Ovis aries: one gene and its partner. The protein of the gene in region 1 interacts with the protein of each later gene in a pairwise test. Links are inferred from orthologs where the notes say so. Each region holds a gene or a part of one and is shown on either strand. Other genes may lie near its edges.

The links.
Region 2: the proteins of CXCL16 (region 1) and TMEM239 interact in a two-hybrid assay, tested with the Homo sapiens proteins (2 studies listed by BioGRID). The two-hybrid records come from large-scale screens. The link is inferred for Ovis aries from reciprocal best matches to the Homo sapiens genes CXCL16 and TMEM239.

The regions. Positions count from the first base shown.
Region 1 is NC_056064.1:26,494,839-26,499,405, forward strand, and holds the start of CXCL16 (C-X-C motif chemokine 16), read left to right. Parts: upstream 1-1,587; 5' UTR 1,588-2,094; coding exon 2,095-2,158; intron 2,159-2,495; coding exon 2,496-2,634; intron 2,635-2,949; coding exon 2,950-3,032; intron 3,033-4,359; coding exon 4,360-4,567. Other genes in the region: ZMYND15 (zinc finger MYND domain-containing protein 15), read right to left, coding at 343-925. UniProt on the Homo sapiens protein: Acts as a scavenger receptor on macrophages, which specifically binds to OxLDL (oxidized low density lipoprotein), suggesting that it may be involved in pathophysiology such as atherogenesis. Induces a strong chemotactic response. Induces calcium mobilization.
Region 2 is NC_056066.1:52,098,301-52,102,895, forward strand, and holds the start of TMEM239 (transmembrane protein 239), read right to left. Parts: upstream 3,002-4,595; 5' UTR 2,866-3,001; coding exon of another isoform or gene 2,775-2,865; 5' UTR 2,670-2,774; coding exon of another isoform or gene 2,530-2,669; 5' UTR 2,498-2,529; intron 2,437-2,497; coding exon of another isoform or gene 2,327-2,436; intron 2,174-2,326; coding exon of another isoform or gene 2,012-2,173; intron 696-2,011; coding exon of another isoform or gene 539-695; exon of another isoform or gene 476-538; intron 1-475. Other genes in the region: CPXM1 (probable carboxypeptidase X1), read left to right, coding at 539-695, 2,012-2,173, 2,327-2,436, 2,530-2,669, 2,775-2,865, 3,433-3,583, 3,668-3,756, 4,077-4,200 and 2 more.

The DNA of each region.
Region 1 (4,567 bases):
GATTGTTAGGGGCAGGGTACCAAATCAGATACTCCTGGGGCCAGGAGAGGAGACTAGGTAGAGAGGGCAGGCCTTTTTGGAAGGGGACAGCGGCTCCACAGAACGAGCATTTGCTGCCAGGCAGAAATGTGGGGGTGTGCTGTGGGAACTTCACATTTTTCTTGAGGTGTTAACTCTCGACTTCTGGAATTGTTTTTTTCTTTTACTATTTAAATGCTGGTGAAACTTAAAAAAAAATGTGGATCAATGAAAACACCTTTTCAGGCCAGCTTGGCCTGAGGCCCACCCATGTGTGACTCCTAACTGCGCTCTGAGGGGGCCAGCGGTGTCCCGGGTTCTTACCGCCTCTCCGCCCCATCCTCCTCTCAGGCCCCGGCCCGTCTTCTGCCCTGTCTTCTTTGCCATCCTCGCCACCTCCAGCCTCCTGCTGGGCATCCTCTGGCTCCCCTGGAGGGGTGGCTTCCCGGGGGGGCTCCCTGCTGCCAGGGGCCGGCTCCCCATCCTCGTCCGTTTCTACCTTTTTGGTGCCGGCACCCTCCTCCTTTCCATTCTCTTCTTCTTCCTCCTCCTCCTCCTCCTCTCCTTGCTCCCCTTCCTCCAGGCTGACAAAGCTGACATAGGGACTTAGGTCTCGCAGGTGGAGTGGGGGCTCATCTCCCAGCAGCCGGGCAGCCCCCAGGCCTGGTCCAGGGCCTGGCTCTGCCCCTTGCCCCAGGCTGATGCCCACACTGCGGTTGGGCAAGACGTGGAGCACCCAAAGGGCCGGGTCCTGGGGCAACCTTCTGATCTGAGCCTCCAGCTGCCGCCAGCGACCCTCAAGGCTGGTCCCTACAGCCCCGCGCTCTGCCACAAACTTGTGGAACCAGCCAAAGAGGAGGGCAGCAAAATCAAGGAATTCATCCCGGTATCCAGACACAAACTCCATGTCTTCAGGGGCACAGGGCCTGAGCCAGACTGAGAAGAGGAAGGGATGTATGGTGAGGGAGAGGCACCGGGGACAGTGTGGGTTGGAGGGGTCCCTTAGGGTGGAATCTATGGATGGATGTTGGGAGCTAGAAAGGAGGTTTTAGGGCTGAGGATGCGAGTTCAGGATGAGAATGGGGGCCAGACTTGAAAGTGGGTGATTAGGGTTAAAAGTGAGTAGTCAGGAGGGAGATAATATTTGGGGCTCCAAATCTGAGGCTCAAACCCTCAAACGTAGGGGTTGAATTAAATCGAGGATCGAAGTGGGAGAGGGTTAATCCTATGGGGAAGAGTTCTGGACTCTTCTGTGGGGTGTGGGAAGAGGGCATCAGAGGCAGGGCCTCCCTTCGCCTTGGACGGGGTTAGGGTTGGCGGTGAACCCCAGTACACCTAGCCCCGCCCCGGCCGCTCCACTACTCCGGTACCTGCAGCCGCCACCACTTTTCGAAGGTAAATACCTCGGGGTGCGGTGTGACGTCAGGCTGCCCGAGCCCGTGGCCGGCTGCTCGGGTGGCCACGCCCCAAAGTCTGGTGCGGCGCGGAGGCGCCCGGGTCAGTGTCTGCGCGGGCGGAGCGCGCGGACTGGTGCTGACAGTCGCTTCGCCCACGTGACTGAGCCCGGTCAAAACGTGAAAGCCTCTCTAAGGAGCAGGTCACAGAGACTGAGCTGCGGAGGGCAGGCGGGCGGTGCTGGCATCTCTGGGCCGGACGAATCGGCCCAGGGGGCAGGGCTGCCATCCAGCCGAGCCGTGCACCTCGGGCTTCCTTTCGCTTTCTCTCGCCTTCTTCCGTCATTCCTGGTTATCCCTCGACGAGGCTCTGGGCTGGGTGCGGGGGTGCTGGCGGAGAAACTCCACCTCCCGGAGTTTCCCCGCCGCCCGCAAGCCTGCGATCACGCGGTTGCGACGGTACTGACCCCACTGTCGATTTGAGACGGTGAGGACGCCGGGAGGGACGCGCCGCCCCCCTCGCGACCTGCCTCGGCCGGCCGGGCCCCAGCGCCGACGACCGCCGTGTCCCTCGGAATCACAGGCGAAGCGGGAGAAGGAAGCGAAAGCCATTGAGAAACCGGCTGGTCGTCAGGCTCCGGAGAACGTCGGGGAGTCAGACAGAACGCGGCGGGCCGAGACGATGCTGGGCCGGGCATCCCGGTTACTCTTGGTCCTACTGTTTGTAGCTTGTCTCACTCCTTCAGGTTTGTCAGAGGCCCGGAGCCCCGAATCCGGGGAAGGAAACGGGCGGGAGGCACTAGCGCCGCGGGGTTGAGTTAAGTGAGGAGCCAGGGTCCCCAAGGCAGCTGGGGCAGGGGGAGGGCCAGCTGCTTGGGCTTGGGGATGGGCTGGGGAACACCTGGGTCCAGATGTGATTATGGACATATTTGGGGAGAGTGAAGCGTGGGTCGAGCCGGGGTCGGGGCTCAGATCCTGGGGTCTACGGGAGACACTGTAGCGAGGCTGTGGGTTGAAGTCTTAGTAGCAGCTGCATGAGCCCCTTGAACCGGGGCCTGTGCGAGCCACTTCCATCCCTCTCAGGCAATGGCAACGAAGGCAGCAAGGTTGGGAGGTGTCCCTGCAATCGTACAATCCCTTCCCGTTCCCCTCCAAACGAGAGTGAAATGAGTCATCTCCGAAAATACCTGACAGCATATCAGCGCTGTTTTTCCTACATCAGGTAATCTCACCACCCACCCCTGGGAGGGCTGCGCGGCGCCCCTCGCCCCCAGCCCTTCAGGATCCTCTGGTCAAACTCGATCTCCTTCTGGGAGGACGTCTAGCCCCTGCCCCATTCCTCCCGGTCACGTTCGCCCTAATTCGTTGCACCTTCAGTTTCCCTTTTCCCCTGTCCCACCTACCTGGAATTTCCCAGTCCCAGCAGAAACTGCCGAAGCTCGGGAGTGACCTCACTTCCTTGGAACCAGGAGAGAGCTGAGAATAGCGGGGGTGGGACAGAGAGTGGGGACACATCTGAAACCAGGTCGTTCCTCAGGTTCCAGCTACCCCGCGGAACTGTGTGTGGAGGCAGCACTGACCGCTGGGTTCAGGAACTGATGCGCTGCTTTGACAGCGGAGGTGAGAGCTTCCCCCTCCTCCCTAGGCCCTGTCCCCAGGGCTCCTGTGCGGCCCCCTTACACCCTTCTTTGCCTCAGCCCTTTCTTCTTCAGTACACTTTGACTTAAGTTCCTCTTTACCATAAACCCTTCACCATCACTTTCATGATTTTTGCCAATACTTCCTATCACTGTGCATTTACTTAATGTTGTTCTTGAAATCAAGGCACTATTTTTATGTTCGGGTATTTTGTGGTGGCGGCTTCCCCAGTGGCTCAGGGGTAAAGAATCTACCTGCCAGTGGAGGAGATAGTGGGTTCTATCCTTGGGTTGGAAGGATCCCCTGGAGAAGATGTCACTCTTGACTGGGAAATCCCATGGACAGAGGAGCCTTATGGGCTATAGTCCATGGAGCTGCAAAAGAGTCAGACATTACTTGATGACTAAACAACAAGAACAATTTTATTATGGAAATTTGAAGACATGTACAAAAGTTGAGAGATTTGTCCAGTGAACATCCATATAACCACCACCTAATTCTATGTTTGATTTTTATATTTGATGTATTTTATATACATCCATAATAAAGCAAATATATTTTATATTTTATAATATCGAGTTTAAGGCATTGTAACTATATTTGCTTTATTGCCCACCCATCTATCTATGCATCCCTCTATCCCTCATTGATCTGCCTAATATCTTTTTTGTACACTTCCAAGTAAGTTGCAGGTTTGACTATACTTTATTCCCAGACATTTCACCATGTATATTATTAAGGAGAGTTCTGTATTTTATTGTTCCTTTGAAGTGAAATTTTAAAACAATGAAATGAATAAATAAGTGTATACAGCTACTTTTGAAAAACTTAATGGCAACTTGTCCTAAGCAGGAACACCTGTGAAGTCACAAATTTGATATGCTGGTTGTATTTTACCCCTAAAATAAATACACAACCATTAAGACACCAGGTGTTCTTCCAGGTCCCAGCACCTATCTGATTTCATCTACTCTTCCTTGCTACTCTGGCTTTTGTTAATAAAATTATCCCTAAGTTACAGCTAAAAGAAATGAACCCCAGAGAGGTTAGGCAACAAGGGGCAAGGTCACAGCTACTTTGTAGCAGAGTCTGGGTTCCAACCTGGGTGTCCTGACTTTCCAGGACATGATTGCCCCAGGGGTTCCATGTTGTAGTTGCTCACTTCCATCTCTCCCTATTTTCCCTCTACCCTCCTTTCCTGGCCTTCAGCTGTTCCCTTGGTGTTTTCCTTGACCCACTACCCTGCCCTCTGTCTAGTTCTTCACCTTGTAACCTCATAGCCCTGATTCCTCACTTCTTGCTTCTTCAGAATGTAGACATGCTCAACCTAGGGTGGTGACCCACCAGGCGGGTGCACCTCTTCACAGCACCCAGCTTCCTGAGCCCACAGAAGCAGCACCTTCAGACACAGCCACCACTTCCCAGATGTACCTGCCATCCACTTTGCAGCGTACCCAGCAACCCACTCCTCTGGAAGGAGCACTGTCCTTGGACAGCAAGCTCATCCCCACCCATGA
Region 2 (4,595 bases), on another chromosome or scaffold:
TGGACAGATTTCCCTCCCGGGTTGTAGTTTCCGCCCCAAAGTTCTTGGCTTTGCTACCTAGACTGTCAATTAGCCGTTCTAAGCCTCAGTTTACCAGTTTGTGAGACAAGGTTTGACTGTAGGCCACGGGTAAAGTGCCCGGCGCCGGGCATGGTACACAGTAGGTGCCCACTGCGGGACGGGCTCACAGGACTGAGTAGAATCCAGGGAGCCTGGGGCCTTTGCGACGGTAAAGGGCAGAGCCCGAGCGAGGCGGGAGCTCGAGGGCGGATGCGGAGGGGCGGGGGGAGTGGAGATGAGGGCAGGGTCGGTGGGTGCGGAGACCCGGGGCGGCCAGCCTGGGCCCTCCCCTTGCTCCTCCCTTCTCTTCCTCCCCTCCCCTCCCAACCCCTCGGCTCCCGGGTCCGAGGCCAGCGAGCCGGCTGTGGGCGGGCGTGCAGCGGCGGCAGGAAGGGGCGGGGGGCTCCGGAGCCCCAGCAGGAAAAGGCGAGCCCACCGGCCGCCGCGAGACCAGTGCGTCCGCGCCCTGGACCCCGCCATGTGGGGTCTCCTGCTCGCCTTGGCCGCCTTCGCGCCTGCCGTCGAGGTGGATCTAGGGGCGCCCAGCACCTCCGTGCTGGGCCTGGCGACCACCAAGGCCCCGGTCCCGACCCCCCGTAGCAGCCCGGCTCAGCCGTCCGCGGGGAAGGAGAAAGGTGAGCTTCCGTCCTACCCACGGCCCGCTTCTCCCGCTAATCGGTTGTCCCACTCTTCCGACCCCCGTGTGGCGACCCCTCCCCAGCACGCGCGCACACACCTCACACACGCCACACACGCCGCACTCTGCCTAGCGCCTGGGTGGCGACTCTGCCCCACGCGCACACACTCCCTGCGCGGTACAATGGCTGCTGACTCAGCAGCCCTAGTTCCCGGCCAGACCAAGTCAGCAGTCCTGGGACAGGAGCCAGTGGGATGCTGCTTCTTCCAGCCCCAAACTTTCTTGTTTCTCGGATGGGGAAACTGAGGCTAGAGCCAGGAGGAGGGTAGAGAGAGGTGCAAAGACACCGAGGAGGGTGCAGAGCAAGACTGTGTGGGCTTGAGCCAGCGGTTGAAAGGAAAGAACAGGGGAAGGGAGGAAGCGCTCTCTGCCAGGTGCCCTGGAGGGACGCGGCTCTGCCTGGGGTGGGGACCAGGAAGGCTGCCGGACTTCTCAGCTTCTCAGAGGTGGCAAGAGAGAGGAGGAAAGCACGGGGATTGGCAGCCTCAGAGGGCTTCTTGGGAGAGGCAGGTGGAACTGGTTCTGAAAGGTAGCTCTGAATTAGGAAGAGCTGAAGAGGAGCGCAGCCAAGAGGGAAACAGTATGTGCAAAGGTACCAACCCCTGACACAGTTATGTGCAGTGTGTGTGTGGGGGGTGGGGTGGGCAGCTGTGGATCTCAGTGGGGAACCAGTGGCATCTGCCCTGTGCCATGAATGCTTTATACTGAAGGGCAGGCAGGGCAGGGGTCCAAGTCTGGAAAGCTGGAAAACCTGGACAGACATGAGTTTGAGGACAGGACCTCTCAGCACAGTGATGGAAGTGGCACAGAGGCTTTGAGGGCATGAGACTGAGCCTGGAGCTAAGGAAGGCTCCCCGAAATGCATCTGGACTGAGATGTGAAGAAAGAATGGGAATTCGAAAAGAAAGTCAAAGGTGATGGATATACGATAGGGAAGGGGACAGCCAGGAAAAGAAGGAGTTAAAGAACTAACTTCAGCTCTTTGGAGCAAGCAAGTAGTTCCTGGTGGCAGTGTAGCCCTCTATTGGTGAGGGCCAAGCAAGTAGTCACACCAGAGGGGAGAAGGAATCAAGGAAGTGGCTGGAACAGTAGGTTGGGGTCAGACTGAGGGCCTTAAAGTCCATGCTAAGGTCCTTGGATACGTGTGGTGGGGCCTTCTGTGGACTTGCAGGTTTTCTTGGGGTGGTAGACCGCTCCATTTGAGGTTTCCTGCCATCCTTTCCTTCCCTGCTGCTCTGCCTGTTTGGTCTCCAGGGACTTCAGAACAGCATGTCCGGATTCGAGTCATCAAGAAGAAAAAGATTGTCACGAAGAAGCGAAAGAAGCTAACTCACCCCAGACCCCCAGTGACTGCCAGGCCTTCAGTGACCACCAGCCCTACAGGGACCCTTGACCTCACTGAGAAGCAAGAACCAGGTACCACCACTCCAAGGGCCTTGCCCAGACTTGCAGTCTCTGGGACATGAACTAATGTAGCTCTTGGCCACACGGGCAAGCTTGGGTTCAGCTTTCCACCTGCTCTGACCACTGTTTCTCTGGTCCCAACTTACTGATTTGTCCCTGTCCCAGACTGTCCCCCTTTGGGCCTGGAGTCCCTGCGAGTTTCAGATAACCAGCTCTACGCATCTAGCAGCCAATCCTTTGGTCTTGGACCACACAGAGGACGGCTCAACATCCAGGTCAGCAAGGCAACCCCTAGGACCTTCTTCCCTGCCCCTCCCACCTTCCCTTAAGGCCTACCCAGTTCTGATTGCTGCGTCCCGTGCCCACAGTCAGGCCTGGAAGATGGTGATCTTTTTGATGGGGCCTGGTGTGCCGAGCAGCAGGATGCTGAGCCATGGCTTCAGGTGGATGCTGGACACCTCACCCGCTTCTCGGGCATTATCACACAGGGCAGGAACTCCATCTGGAGGTGAGGCAGGACAGCTCCAGGCCAGGAAAGTTATGGGCAGACTCAGGAGGACTGGGGTGGGAGGCTTGGGGGCCACCCATGATCTCTACCCACCTTTCCTGCCAGGTATGACTGGGTCACTTCATACAAAGTCCAGTTCAGCAATGACAGTCAGACCTGGTGGGGGAGTAAGAATCGCAGCAGCGGGATGGATGCGGTGAGAAGTCCCATGGTGGCTGGGGCCCTCTATGCTGGGAGCTGGGCTCCTGGCCCACTGTAGGGTGCTGGGCTGGGCTTGGACTCCTCTGAGGACAAGACACAGGTGCCCACTTTGGCATCCCAGGAGAAAGGGTGGGTGGCACCCAGCAGACAGCCTCAGGAGCCAGGTTGCTTTGGACCATGCCCGCATCCTTCCCAAATACTTCGTCATGCCACAGCTTCCTGCTGGAACACCCCTTCTGGCGATGGGCCTCAGTCCTTGCATCACTTCTCATCTCCTCAGGCTACAGTGTGGGATCCTGGCCAGCTTCAGGATTGCCTACTGCTGAGTCACATGGCCATATTGGTCTAATGAGCTGTGACTAAACTGGAAAGGATGACTGCCTAGGGCTGCCTGTTAGCAAAGGATGTGGGCAGCAATCTGTGTTTGACGCAGAGAGCAAGTGTCTAGCTGAGCCCACTAGGGTGGGTTTTTCAGTGAGCTCACAGGCCTGAGCATCTTCCTGGGCCCTGAGCCAGGCTGCCGGGGTTCAAGCGGCCCTTACAAAGGACTTGATGCCCTCAGGTATTTCCTGCCAATTCGGATCCAGAGACACCAGTGCTAAATCTCCTGCCTGAGCCCCAGGTGGCCCGTTTCATTCGCCTGCTGCCCCAGACCTGGCTCCAGGGAGGTGCATCTTGCCTCCGGGCAGAGATTCTGGCCTGCCCAGTCTCAGGTGGGGAGAAAGACAAGGGTTAGTTGGGCAGGGCACACCCTCCCCTGGGAATTCACCATTTACTGTGAACTCATCCTCTACCAGATCCCAATGGTCCGTTCCCTGAGGTTCCCGTGCTGGGATCCTCCGACTCACTAGACTTCCGGCATCATGATTATAAAGCCATGAGGAAGGTAACCCCTATGACCCAGGAGGGAGGATCTGCTCATCTCAGGTCTCCTGCCCACCAGGGCATAACTTGCTATGATTGCCCTCGTGTCCCTCTCCATCTCACCCTCTTTTTGACCCCTAAACTTCTACGATTTCCCTTGCTTTGGTGCCTCTCTTATTCTGACCGTTCCTTCCTTGGCTCCTGCCCCCTCCTGTATTGCGCCAATGGTGTCCCCATCGTATGGGCCCTCGCAAACTTTTGAAGTCCTTCTATGGCCTCGTGTGGTCTGAGCCCTGGGTCTGCTCCTCCCATGCCCCTCACCATGCTACACTCACCCCCCAGCTGATGAAGCAAGTGAACGAGCAATGCCCCAACATCACCCGCATCTACAGCATCGGGAGGAGCCACCAGGGCTTGAAGCTGTATGTGATGGAAATGTCAGACCAGCCCGGGGAGCATGAGCTGGGTACTGGCAGGTGGGGTGGAAGAGGTGGGCACAGCAGCAGGGAGGGGCAGGTGCATGAGCCAGCTGCAAGCCCCTATTTGTTCCCAGGAGAGCCTGAGGTACGCTATGTGGCCGGCATGCATGGGAATGAGGCCTTGGGGCGGGAGTTGCTCCTGCTTCTAATGCAGTTCCTGTGTCGTGAGTTCCTGAGAGGGGACCCGAGAGTGACCCGGCTGCTCACCGAGACGCGCATTCACCTGCTGCCCTCCATGAATCCTGACGGCTACGAGACTGCCTTCCGCCGGGTAGGGCACTTGGGCTGAGGGCCAGTCTGCTCCTTCTGCCATGGTGCCTGGAGCCTGCTTTGCTTGAACAGACTTTCTCCCTGGCAGGGCTCGGAGCTGGTGGGCTGGGCA